Astyanax mexicanus: one gene and its partner. The protein of the gene in region 1 purifies or fractionates together with the protein of each later gene. This does not show direct contact. Links are inferred from orthologs where the notes say so. Each region holds a gene or a part of one and is shown on either strand. Other genes may lie near its edges.

The links. The genes of interacting proteins can lie anywhere in the genome.
Region 2: the proteins of ppp3ccb (region 1) and rcan3 purify together in Homo sapiens (affinity purification with mass spectrometry; 3 studies listed by BioGRID and IntAct, counting the BioPlex papers as one, with this or other methods). This does not show direct contact. The link is inferred for Astyanax mexicanus from reciprocal best matches to the Homo sapiens genes PPP3CC and RCAN3.

What each region holds. Positions count from the first base shown.
Region 1 is NC_064427.1:21,725,010-21,732,026, reverse strand, and holds the start of ppp3ccb (protein phosphatase 3, catalytic subunit, gamma isozyme, b), read left to right. Parts: upstream 1-4,013; 5' UTR 4,014-4,584; coding exon 4,585-4,636; intron 4,637-7,017. UniProt on the Homo sapiens protein: Calcium-dependent, calmodulin-stimulated protein phosphatase which plays an essential role in the transduction of intracellular Ca(2+)-mediated signals. Dephosphorylates and activates transcription factor NFATC1.
Region 2 is NC_064421.1:35,120,392-35,127,952, reverse strand, and holds the start of rcan3 (calcipressin-3), read right to left. Parts: upstream 3,013-7,561; 5' UTR 2,873-3,012; intron 1-2,872.

The DNA of each region.
Region 1 (7,017 bases):
GTTGAGGTAGGGGTAACGTCACATTAGAGTCTCCTGGTAGAACTTTCACTGGAACTTTTATTTCTATAGAATGGAAGGGAGCAAATATACATTGTTCACGACACTCAAGGTCGCCGGTGCTGCAGGTCGCTGAGGCCAGCCGGAGGCTCGTCCAGGTCGACTGGGTGTGTTGCTGTGCTTCGGTGGGAGTTGGCTCAGTGCCAGACTGGATGGGATGATCATTAGTAACAGCTGTTGGCTCCGTCTGGGCTGAACACTAGAATCGTAAGTTTTGGGACTGCAGTGTTCAGGGGCGAGAGAATGTTAATGTCGGTAAATAACGCCGTCCTGCCGTAAACAAGCCTCCACTCAGGGGTCTGGAGATGAAGAGCGTCCACACTGCCAAAGGCCTCCTCAGATGGGACATACTGTGATGAGAGACTGGAAGACTCTGAGGCAGAGTTACTGGGTTCATCTGGCCCAGCAGATATCTTCACACACATTAGGAGTTTAAGGACACTCTGTCTCCTTTTTCTCATTATTTACACCATTAACACTTAAAAATAAAGGCAATTTTCTTGTAGAGGGGATGTCAGAAAACTAAATGATTTCAATAAACATTTAAGTACTTTTTTAACATTTCCTTATGTAACAGTGTAGAAAATGCATGTTATCACAAGACTCCAAAACTTTCCGCGCCCCAACGTTCACCCATGTCACATCAAATCATGTCATGAAGCTCATTGCTGTTTTACACCACGTCTTCTGTCGCATCGTTTAAATAGAAACAGTGCTTCTGAATATATCTACACTGATGGGCGTGGTGGTCTGGAAGTTGAGTGTCTTCAGGTACGTTTGTGGTATCTTGGCAGTGGAAAACACAGGTGCACCACTGACTGAATACAACCTAGACAGATCAGACAGTCAACAGTCAGATGTTCATTGCTATGTGCTGCAGTGCGCCACGCATACACCCACATTATTACACACATGAACACCCAGAAGCACAAATGCAACTTTTACATCAACAATAAACAGAATACTAAATAAAATACAATTGCTTTTAACATTAATTAACTGCTGGAGCTCCTTTACAGTGTGAACGAGCAAGTCAGTTTCCTCTGCTGAGAAGCGTCGGACATGTCCAAGTACCTGCGCCGTTAAAATAGCAATCTGCCAAAGTCAGAGCACACCTGGCTCTTAAAAGGAATGAAAAGTGACACACTGATTGGTTTATTTTCGCTTCGAACCACACAAAGTGTACTTTTCTCGTTGTTGTGATAGCGAAGACTGACACTGACACACCCTAAATCAAGCTGCATGGTGCTCAGTTGATGGCTCACCTATAGATCCCTAAAATAGGGCCCTCAGTCTTTAAAGGTCAGAGTAAATGGCTGAATGCAGCTTGCTGTACTCTGTGGAGCACTCACACAGCTTGAGTTCTGAGTGGGAGGCAGATCAGGAATGTTGCATGACAAACGTCTCAGTTCCTCGAAGCCAGAGCTCAAAAGTGGAAAACAAGACGGCTTCTCTCCACAGGGCCACAGACTCCACACAGTGACCCGGTTCTGATCCAGACCCCCCTCAGCTGCTCCAACTGTTCCCTAATAGTTTTGATTTCTTCAGTATGAATCTACAGTGTAAAAAAGAAAACAAATAAAGAACAAAAAACACTAAGTGAGAAGATGGGTCAAAACATTATACTGGTATTGTATATGTATGTATGTAAGTATTTGTATGTAAGAATATGATTAAAAAAAGTATCCAGTATTTTATTATATCTTTTCATAGAACAACACTAAAAAAAAAGAAACTTGGAACTGGATATAGTCAGTGTACGGCTTGTATAGCAATATAGATTTACTGTCCTCTGAAAATAACTTAACACACAGAAATGTATGTCTAAATATCTGCAACACAAGAGAGTACACCTCACAGTGAACATTTTCCAAATTGTGCCCAGTTCTGTGAGTGGAGTTCACTTGAGCGCATGGATGTCAGACACCTTGCGCTCCTTTACCTTCTGCCTGAGGATGCCACACAGGTGCTCAATTAGGTTTGGCTCTGGAGACATACTTGGCCAATACATCAACTTTATCCTCGGCTTCCTCAGCAAGGCAATTATTATTTTGGAGGTGTGTTTATGTTTGGGGTCAAGTCAAGCCACGTCAATACAATACAACAAGGTCACAGATATAGAGGTACATGAGACAAGAGACACAAAGACAATATAGTGCAATAGTGATGGGGGGAGGGGATTAAGAAGGAATGACAGTACCATTGTAAACAGAACAGAACAGAACAGAATCGTGTTGGAAAACTGCCATGCAGACCAGTTCCTGGAGGAATTGAAAAGGTACTCTCGTAGCCCTGGACCATGATGCTGATCCCACCACCATGCTTGACTAAGTATTATGAGTATTAAGAAAAAAAGTATTTAGTCCATCAGTGTGAAGTCATGGCATAGAGAAAACACTGTTTATTTGTTGTATATGTGGATTGGGCAGCTGTGTGTTAATTTTGGACAATATTAGATATAGTTCCAGAAACTGGGCCTTAGCGACTTCAAAAACACGTAACAAAATAATTTACATCAGCGCTTGAATGGGAAACAATTTGTGCTGGTTCCAGTTCTGACCACTGGGTAGCACTATGTCTTCATAGATTTACAGAAGGCACACACACAGACACACACACACACACACACACACACACACACAGTTCGCAGGAACATCTGCTACTCTGCTGGGAGACTTTACACTGGTTGTTAATACATTAAAGGGGGGGGGGGGATTTGATTGCATTCAGCTCTTCACAGAAGCATCAGCGAAAAGCATATAAAATATGGTACTTCTGTTGTTAACCACTGGGTGGCACTACACACTCAGACTTACAGGCCAAAACGCACACACACACACACACACACACAGAACACACAAGTGAAGGGATAATTCTGTGTTTTGTGTTTGGCTTAAATGTTGCTGATCGAATCATAAATGGCCACAGCAAAGAAACCATACGTAATAACGACTTCAATCCAGCCAATATATTGTGATATCAATTTTGGTCATATCTTCCAGCACTAGACGAAATTAACTGCCAAATTAAGGAACTGTAAGTCCCTATATGTGCCTTCTTATCCATCTGTGAATAGGGCTCTTTGGCTATGTTTACATAGCAGGCAAAATGTCCCAAATCTGATTTTCTGACTAAATCTGATATGAAGTTTAGTCTGTTTACACAATCTTTTTTATCACTTTCATCACTAAAAATCTAAATCATAATCGAGAATCGCTCCTATATTTAAAAACATCTAGAATTTATATTGGTATAAATATATATGTGTATATATATATATATATATATATATATATATATATATATATATATACACTATATATATATATATATATATATATATATATATATATATATATATATATATATATATATATATATAGTATATATATACACCAACAAAAAACTTACAAATTACCTTAAAGAAACTATTTTTACATTGACTTCCATTTAATGCTTAAAAGGTTTTTTTCTCCCTCCTGTAAAGTTGCTGTTTTGGAAACAGCGATGATATACACTAGTGCATCTCAGAAAATTAGAATACCATTGAACAGTTACTTTATTTTCAGTTTCAGTTCAAAATGTAAAACTTGTAAATTGTGTAGATTTTTTTTTGTTGATTGTGTAGATGTATTGCGCGAAAAAACACTGCACTGACTTTAGACTTGTCATAACACAGAGGACCAATAGCAGCAGATGACATGACTCTTCAAACCATCACTGATCATCAGTAAATTGTGCATTTCATTTGGAAATCAAAGGACCAGAGTCTACTGTGAAGTTTCCACAATATGTATAAAAGAAGCACCTAGTGTAGCACCTTGGTGTGCTTCACGTAGCACGTTTAAAAAACACTAAGCTACATGTATCTGTGTATATATGTTTATCTGTGCACTCTGCGCACTACATCCCCCACAATGCCCGCGGCCCTCCCTCCTCGCCATGTTGTAGGAAATGCTGGTGCTGTGGATTAGAGTTTAATCCGAGCGCAGCGGCGGAGAGAGACGGAGAGAAAACCCGCAGCGGCTCTGACTGAGACTCACCGAGACTCTCCGAGACTCCCACCTGCGCCCAAACCCCGCGGACCCCCGGACACTCTGGCCCGCAGCGGTACTAGGGGTGGCGGTTGTGCAGTAGCTCCGGCTGGGTCGTTGTTCGGCGCGTTTCCTGCTCCGTGTGCTTCATCCTCCCTCCGCGGAGAGCGCAGCTGCAGCCCGGGGGTCTCTCCGACACAGCGCACTCACACACCGGCCACAGCACACCTCTACACCCCGCGGCCGGCCTCCCCTCTCCCCCTTACCCCTCACCCCTCCGCCCCACGGCGCTGCGATCACCACCGGCCCGGGGTTCAGCCCGCAGCCGCTCTGCTGCTCCCGGAGCCCGGCCGAGCCGGGGCTAGCTAACCCACAGCTACCCGAGCTAGCTAACTGACTGACAGCATTAGCTGGGCGGTTTAGAGCCGCACGGAGGAATTCTCTGCTTTACCCCGCAGAGAGAAGATTAATTAAAGACGGTGAATTATCCACGATGTCGGCGAAGGACCAGAACAAACAGTCCACCATCGAAAGGCCGGTGAAAGGTAACGGGAACGGCGCGAAAAAAAATCCTCCCAGTTTGTGGCGTTAGCATCATGCTAACTGTTTCAATTTCACTGACTGGAGTTAACATTAGCCTGCAGCTAACGTTAGCTAGGTTAGCTTACCCAGCTAACCTAACTAGCTTAACTCAATAACCAACGCTCACCTGATTAGCATTTCCTAACTAAATATAGCTAACGCTATTTTTACGAGTACACTCTGTTATAAAATAGATATTCATCGTATCTACCTAATTAACAATAATAACGACTGTTAAATATATGGGGTTTCTTATTTACCTCAGCTTGTCGTTGAGTTTCCTCATTTCTTAACGCTTTTCGTTAGCAAGACTTCAAGGTTAGCTATCTTAACTAGCTTAGCGTTAGTTTTTTTTCCTGTCAAGTTGTGCTAACTAAACTAGCTAATTTTACCTGTAAATAGGTCTGGAGTGAGGTTTGGAAATAAACTGGACATTTTACTAACTTAATAATATTGAATGTTATGTGTGTGGGATTTCCTATTTACCTCAGTTTGTCATTAACTTTCCTCATTTTTAACGTTCCAGGTTTATTTTTTCTGTCAGACTGTGGGAACTGACTGGTCAGTCTTAGTTATTTTAACTTAACGTTTTTAAACAACGTTTTTATCCAGTTAAACGCTTATTTAACTTGCCTCAGTTTGTCGTTGGGTTTACTTTTTTTTTGTACAAATCCCTGTCAGATTGTGACTAGTCTGTTTTAGCTAACCTGGCTAGCTGACTAAGTCACGGTCACTTGATTAACTACTTTTAGTGAATTAAGCTTTCTTATAGGGTAGATATTATCTGAACCATATTATTAACAGTGATATCGACTGTTAAATGTGTGAAGTTTCTAATTTACCTCTGTTTATCGTTGAATTTCCCCATCTTTATCGTTTTTGTTCATTTACCTCAGTTGGTCATTGAATTTAATCATAGTTTTTCCTGTCAAATTGTTTGAACTGACTGGTCAGTCTTAGCTAACTCAACTTGGTTTACTTTGTTGTAATTAAATTGCAAAAAAGGCTGAATGCTTTAATTTCTTTAATATAAAAAAACACATTGTGATTTTGAGGCACAATATCTATCACTGATATTTTCCAGGTGTATAAACATGAATTAGTATTTTTCAATTTCATAGAGCTATTCATTAATTATTAGTTAATTTTACTGTTTACTAATGTAGCCTTTCACTAAATACTTTTTACCTGTTCTCTAGCTAATTTTACCTGTAGAACGGGTTTGGAAATAAACTAGATATCTTACTAACAAAAATACAGATGAATAAATGTGTGGATTTTCTTATTTACCTCAGTTTGACCTTAACTTTCCTAATTTGTTTTTACATTTTTGCTTTAGATGTTCCTGTCAGATTGTGGTTACTGACTGGTCAGTCTTAGCCAACCTAACATACCTTACATTTTCTGCAGTTAAGCACGTTTAAATACTGGTTAAATACTGACTACCCTTTACAGGCTGTATTAACACGAATTGGTGTTTTTCACTTTAATAGAGCTATTCATTAATCAATAATTTAACTTTTCACTGATATTGCCTGACAGCTTATGGACAAAACAAATTTTCTTATAGATTAGATATTCATTAGTTCAGCTCTAGCTAACGTATTAACAATAATAAAGATTGTTAAATGTGTGAGGTCTTATTTACTACACTTTGTAATTTAGGATTCTCATTTTTAACGTTTTTGGTTACCAAGACAGCTAGCTAACAAGCGTAACTCTTTTGCTTTAGTTTTGTTTCTGTGTTTTTGTGGCTAACTGCCAGCCTTAATTAACTAGTTGGCTAACTAGCTGCTTTTTGCCTGTTAGCTAGCCAAATAAATCTACCTTTCTCTTTCACAAGTGTTTAGGGATGCTAGTGATCACATTACACTAATGTTGGGTAATAGAGACCTTGATATCTGTAGACGGTTTGCCAGATGATGATAGATTAGTGTTTAATTTTTCTGAAGTTTGACTAGTCAGAGCGTGTTTGGAAATCAGCAAAACAAGATAAGCACCACATTTAAGAGAGCTATCATAAATGATGACTGCACTGATTTGCGTAATTCATTGTTTCTCATGCAGGTCTGCTGTCGAGCACAAAGGACCCACAGTGTGCTGTGTTAAGTCACGGTGGCTGATTCACTAAATGGTAACACAAAATCCAGCCAAGGCTAGATTTGCTGGATCTCCATTGGCTGAAAAGATTGCTCAGTGCATTTCAACAAAAGGGAAATACATATTTAGTTTGATAAAATGCAGTGGCTTAAAATATTACGTCTATTATATTTTATGTGGCATTTCATGTGACTCTTTCCAAGGGCTCAGACCCTTGCTCTTTGAGCCTTGGTTTAAGATGGAG
Region 2 (7,561 bases), on another chromosome or scaffold:
GGCTGTGCTCCGGTTCGCGTCTAAAACCTCCCGCGATGAAGCGAAACCGACCTTAACCAAGCGGATCTCGGCTGCGCTCCGCTTCCCACCTAGAATGTCCCGCAATGAAGCTCCGCTGCGCTCCGGTCCGGTCTGTTACTGTTACTGTCACTTTAAGCAGTTTGACTACACACAATATCTGAAGCACTTTTGTAGATTATGTTGTATCTAAGTTATTTATAGTTGATATAGGTTTGTTTATATGACGGGGATATCATGTTCCCTATATATATATATATATATATATATATATATATATATATATATATATATATATATATATATATATATATATATATATATACACTGCTCAAAAAAATAAAGGGAACACTCAAATAACACATCCTAGATCTGAATGAATGAAATATTCTCATTGAATACTTTGTTCTGTACAAAGTTGAATGTGCTGACAACAAAATCACACAAAAATCATCAATGGAAATCAAATTTATTAACCAATGGAGGCCTGGATTTGGAGCCACACACAAAATTAAAGTGAAAAAAAAAACACACACTACAGGCTGATCCAACTTTAATGTAATGTCCTTAAAACAAAACACAAGTCAAAATGAGGCTCAGTATTGTATGTGGCCTACACGTGCCTGTATGACCTCCCTACAACGCCTGGGCATGCTCCTGATGAGGTGGCGGATGGTCTCCTGAGGGATCTCCTCCCAGACCTGGACTAAAGCATCCGCCAACTCCTGGACAGTCTGTGGTGCAACGTGATGTTGGTGGATGGAGCGAGACATGATGTCCCAGATGTGCTCAATCGGATTCAGGTCTGGGGAACGGGCGGGCCAGTCCATAGCTTCAATGCCTTCATCTTGCAGGAACTGCTGACACACTCCAGCCACATGAGGTCTAGCATTGTCCTGCATTAGGAGGAACCCAGGGCCAACCGCACCAGCATATGGTCTCACAAGGGGTCTGAGGATCTCATCTCGGTACCTAATGGCAGTCAGGCTACCTCTGGTGAGCACATGGAGGGCTGTGCGGCCCTCCAAAGAAATGCCACCCCACACCATTACTGACCCACTGCCAAACCGGTCATGCTGAAGGATGTTGCAGGCAGCAGACCGCTCTCCACGGCGTCTCCAGACTCTGTCACGTCTGTCATGTGCTCAGTGTGAACCTGCTTTCATCTGTGAAGAGCACAAGGCGCCAGTGGCGAATTTGCCAATCCTGGTGTTCTCTGGCAAATGCCAAGCGTCCTGCACGGTGTTGGGCTGTGAGCACAACCCCCATCTGTGGATGTCGGGCCCTCATACCATCCTCATGGAGTCGGTTTCTAACCGTTTGTGCAGACACATGCACATTTGTGGCCTGCTGGAGGTCATTTTGCAGGGCTCTGGCAGTGCTCCTCCTGTTCCTTCTTGCACAAAGGCGGAGGTAGCGGTCCTGCTGCTGGGTTGTTGCCCTCCTACGGCCTCCTCCACGTCTCCTGGTGTACTGGCCTGTCCCCTGGTAGCGCCTCCAGCCTCTGGACACTACGCTGACAGACACAGCAAACCTTCTTGCCACAGCTCGCATTGATGTGCCACCCTGGATGAGCTGCACTACCTGAGCCACTTGTGTGGGTTGTAGAGTCCGTCTCATGCTACCACGAGTGTGAAAGCACCACCAACATTCAAAACTGACCAAAACATCAGCCAGACAGCATAGGTTCTGAGAAGTGGTCTGTGGTCCCCACCTGCAGAACCACTCCTTTATTGAGTGTGTCTTGCTAATTGCCAATAATTTCCACCTGTTGTCTATTCCATTTGCACAACAGCAGGTGAAATTGATTGTCAATCAGTGTTGCTTCCTAAGTGGACAGTTTAATTTCACAGAAGTTTGATTTACTTGGAGTTATATTGTGTTATTTGAGTGTTCCCTTTATTTTTTTGAGCAGTGTATATATTGTTTTGATCTGTTAAATATGTTTACAAAAGAATAAGAAGCTCTGCCTCTGTTGTAATGTTGTAAAGTTATTTATATTGGTAATATGTTTATAGGTTATAGGTTTGTGTTTGACAGAAATGTCATGTTTTTATTTTGCTACATGCAAATAAAAGTGTGCATTGATTTATTCTGACCATTTTTTATTTCTAAAGTATTATACAGTTTTTGTGAGAGGAGGCTTTAAAGACTTAAATTAAAATTTCAGACAGTAGTGTACAGATTTCCATTGCAGGGATTCTTAGCAGTTTTTCTGAGGCCTTCAAAGTATTTATATAGATATTGAAATTATATCGTATCGATTGAAATTAAGGAATATATTGTGATATAAATTTTGGCCATATCGCCCAGCACTACATACAAACATATCAAAACAGTTTGATATGCCATAATTGAACTCAGAACAGCTCGTTTGGAATCACTACAAAGCTTTACACCGATAAAGTTTCTACAGTTAAACTCCATTTCCCATGAGCCTCTTGGATAAGCCATGCGAGTTAAACCCCTTTGGCCAGTCACCAAAACACTGCAAGTGAGTGTAAACGCTCATTCAGTCTCGTTACAAACACAAATAAACGACAGCACAGTCATACAGCTGTGTTCTGTATGTTTTAGATGGTAAAATCTGTGTTTTTATTCAGCGCAGGTTTTGGGTGGTTTTATTGATAAACAGCGTCGCTGTCTAGTGGCGAACACGTGATTACATTATTGTTATTATTATTATCCAGCGGATTTATTTTAAATTATAAAAGTGTTTAATTTTATGTCAGAAGGAATACAGAAGGCTTTTTTAACACACTGATTCATAAAGTTGGGCTGTATGTACTCGGATAACCAGATAACAGAATAACATAACCCTGTAGTTTCAGCGCGTCCCTGGTTCTTAACCTACCTCCGCGGGGTCAGAGCAGTCCCTCGCCGCCTTCCGACTGCTCAGCTCCGGGTCAGCTCGCCCTCAGCCCCGCTGCTGCCGGTACCAGCGAACCAGAACCACAACCTGGGTGTCCATCTTTCACCTCCCAGAGGCTGAGACTCTCTCTCTCTCTCTCTCTCTCTCTCTCTCTCTCTCTCTCTCTCTCTCTCTCTCTTCTCTCTCTCTCTCTCTCATTCGACCAATCCAATTCGAGGCTATCATCTCACCAGCCAATAGCATCAGAGTCTTAGTCCTAACTATAGCTTTGTAAAAAAAAAAAAAAAAAAGAGACCATTAAAAATCGAGTTTCTTTGATTTTACCTAGTTGAAAACCTCTAGAATATAATCAAAAGGAAGATGGATGATCCATCAAACCAAGCTGAAATGCTTGACTTTTTGCAGGAGTGGAATAAAGTTATCCAAAAGCATTTTAAACCCCTAAAACTTTATTAATATAAACTTGTTTCCTTTGCATTATTTGAGGTCTGAAAGCTCTGCATCTTTTTTGTTATTTCAGCCATTTATAAATTTCTGCAAATAAATGCTCTAAATGACAATTATTTTATTGCGAATTTGGGAGAAATGTAGTTTATAGAATATTTTTATAGAATATTTTACTCAAACATATACCTATAAATAACTAAATAAAAAAAAACTGTATGCCTTTTTAACATAATAATTATGCTTGATTTATATATGGTCGCTGTCCAATGAAAATCTTCAGAACAGCAACTTTACAGGAGAGAGAACAAACCTTCTAAACTTTCAATTGAAGTCAATGTAAAAATAGTTTATTTAAGGTAATTTCAAAGTATTTCTTTTGATTTGTCCATCAAGAAATTTTGGCACAGTTTGTGTGTTCAAATTATGCAGTAAACTAAAAATCAACAAAACTGGGGATACTTACTTTTTACTGGACTCCGAATAAAAATAATGAATCTAATAATGATACTAGAATACATATTTTAATATTAACAAAATTATATATACTTTCAGTTATGTCCAATACTTATACATTGGTCTTTTTTCATGTAGAATGGGGAGTTGGGGGCTGCAGTGGCACTCAGACCTGTTGCAACAAAGGAAAACAGCAAAGAAAAAAAAATTCCCTGGGGCCACAAGCTGGCCTGGGACCCCCAGACAACGACTAATTACAAACTGAATGCAGTGACAAACTGTGTGAGTGCCCAATACATTCTGTGATAATCAATGCAGGAAAGTACAATGACACAGTTATCGAAATCTCCTCAAGGAGGCCCCTCCCACTAGTTGCTGACAGTAACCAACCAGCCAGGTTTGTGTTTCCTGCAGCCGGCAAAATATGAAACTTCAACAATCGTGAATTAGAGTTCTCCATCAGGAATCTAAAAATGAAAGAATAAAAAGGAAGAGAAAGAAAAGGAAAAACATTAAAGCAGTAATTGATAATTTACACTGGATAAATTAGGCCTGTGTGCTTATGTACACATAGTGTATTTTACCAGCTGTTAGGTTATATATATGGATCATTTGTATGTTACCTAACTGCCTGGCAATCAATGCTAGTAACAAATGCAATGAAGGGGCTGATATACACTGAGCTATGTTACATTAACAAAAAGGAAAACGCAGATCTGCTCCAGATCACTCCAGATTCACTGTTTATCACTTTTAATGACATGACATAGCAGTAGCCTAACAGAGCCCATCTTCCCTGTGGCCCCCAAAATGCCTTAAACGGCCCTGGTGGCACTTATCACCTACAAAGGTGACCTCCATGTAAAAAAGAAGTTTGAAGAAATGCTGTTCTAGGTTACTGGATCAAAATATCATCTTAAACATCAATGACGGACATGGCTAAACCTGCAGCTTTTTTTAGAGAAGGTGCAATGTGTGATGGTTGGTTCTAAGATTTCAAGTAGTGTTTATAACTGAATCGATTTTACTGAAATATACCACTGTCACTAACACTGCCTTCAACCTGACCTCCAAAATTCTTGACATTTCTGCATAACATTACCAACATGCAATAATATTGGTATATTATGACATTATAACATGACTGTTAGCTCATCAGCAGGCATGTGACAGCATTGTGTGCATGCGTTAATGTCCTTTTCAGGCTCTTTCTGTGGGCCAGCCCAGGGTACTGTCAGAGGTCAGAGCTCACAGGCGTTCTCATTTAACTAATGCTAGTAGCTGAGGGCCCAGACTTTAATCAGTGCTCTGATCTCTACCCAGGAAAATACCTGCTGCTGCCATGCCATCTATCGAAACACACACACACACACACAACCAATTATTGAACAGCAGAAGAACCTACATTCTGTAGCCCCACATTAAAATAATTGAAAACAAATCAGAACAAGCATTTTATTTAAATTAAAATTACACAATTGTTTAAAAGAATTCTCTGCCTAATTCTGTGTAAATGTGTTGTATATGATATGCTGTAAATTGCTTTCAAATGTTACCCCACAAAGATAATGGTAGATTCTACTCAGTGAGCCAGGCCTTGGGTTGTGCCTGGGTGTGTTAATTGGGCAGATATATTGTAGATATAGTAGTGATGTTGTGCAAGGCCAGTTCCCTGTTGGTGGGGTATATATCATGTGGCAGATGAACACACTGATATTTGAGAAATGATATTATGTTTATAGGAAATGTGCAATAATGTATAAATTTAGGCACCCCAACAGAAAAAAATTACATCAGAATCTGTCTTCTGCTTGAATGTATTTTGGATCATTCTTCTTTATAAAACACCTCTAGTTCAGTCAGGTTTGATGGTTTCTGAGCATCAACAGCCTGTTTTAAATCCCACCACAGATTTTTAATAATATTCAGGTCTGGGGACTGAGATGATCATTCCAGAACTTTGTACTTGTTCCTCTTCATGAATGTTTTAGCAGATTTTGAGCTGTGTTTAGGGTCGTTATCTTGTTGAAGGGACTCCATCTGCAGCAGGATGATGTTGTAGGTGTTTGGAGCTGATCTGTGGGTTGACTATAACTGTTCTCACCATCCTTCTCCTCTGATTATCTGAGATTTTTCTTGTTCGGCCACTTCAGGCCTTAAATTGAACTGTGCCTGTGATCTTCCATTTCCTCACTATGTTCCTCACAGTGGAAACTGACAGCTGTTTTCTTCTCCTAAATCATATTGTTAAACAATCTTTGTTTTCAGGTCATTTGAGAGTTGTGTTTTGAGGCTTTCATGTTGGTACTCTTCAGAGAAGATGCAAAGAGGAGAAAGACTTGCAGTTGGCTCCTTAACCTTTTCTCATAATTGGATTCACCTGTGTATTAAACTCAATTCAATTTTATTTATGTTGCGCTTTTTACAACAGAAGTTGTAAATGTCACAAAGCAGCTTTACAGAGAAAAACAGGTCCACGCCTCTTATGAGCAGCACCACAGAAATGGCAATTATTGTGGTGACAACAGTGGCAAGGAAAAACTCCCTTACATTAAGAGGAAGAAACCTTGAAAGGAACCAAGACTCAGTCAGAGTGTATGTAGGTCAATACGCTTATCAAACTAAATTATAATAATTAGTGCTTAAGGTATTCAAATCAATAAAACGACAGGGGTGCCCAAACTTTTTAATGCCACTGTATCGTTCTCTTCTCTTTCATATTTTGGTTTTGGTCTATGTGGGGCATATGCTACATACAGACCGATTATTATAAATGCATCTTAATTAATCACAGTAGCTTTGCAATGTGTAATTTATGAAACGCCAGGGTCAGATGTCTGCATTAAGTAATACTACCTCTTCTCTGCAAAATCTTAACCAACTCAAAACAATTGCACGCACAGGTGAGCACATTTTATTAATCTGAGATCTGAGTAAATACACCTTTAAATGTTACACAGACTTAAGAACTATTACAAACGCGGTGTATCGCAAGGACATCGTCAATCAGATGTTTGAGAAGATTAGATTTTCTCTTTACAACCTTCTGCCTCAAGCTGCGTGCATTTACAGTATAATACATTCCATAAATAGTTGCATACATTTTGAATTCATTAAATAATTATACTACACAAGCTCCCACTAAAGGCACAGGGAAAAAATACATCAAATACAATCTTAAAAATATTATAAGGCCCCTAAAGAAAAGAAAGAAATGCCCAAGAAAGAACATATTTGGCTGCACCCGACCCGTCCACACTCCTGCGCTGTTTCACAGCTTCAGTCTCTCATTCTCAGCACATAAACCCAGCAGTATACACACATATATAACATACAGATGTAAATGTTTAAGTCAGTGGTAGAAATGTACAAGTCACATGAACATACATACAGTACAGTCTGGGATCAGGAATAGAACAGTAGTTTTGTTTTAAAGGCAGAAATGGAGCAGATGACAGTGTTCTGCTTACAGTGTTCAGTTTGGAATAGACCGACTGAGCTGAGAGTCCAGCCTGAGCCAAGAAACATCCATTAAAGAGGGTACTGGTGCAACTGGAGAACAGGTACAAGATGTCATATAGTATGATCAAGCAATAATACATGAGATGGAGTGCTATAACGTGTAATAGCACTCCCTGCAGTCTGCAGCCTACAGCCTTGTGGCTACGACCGCATCACAGCAGTGCCAATATTACATGTTATAGCACAAACCTTGAGTGTATTATTGCGATTATAACAGTTCAATTATCGCTCTTAATTAAAAGATCTTGA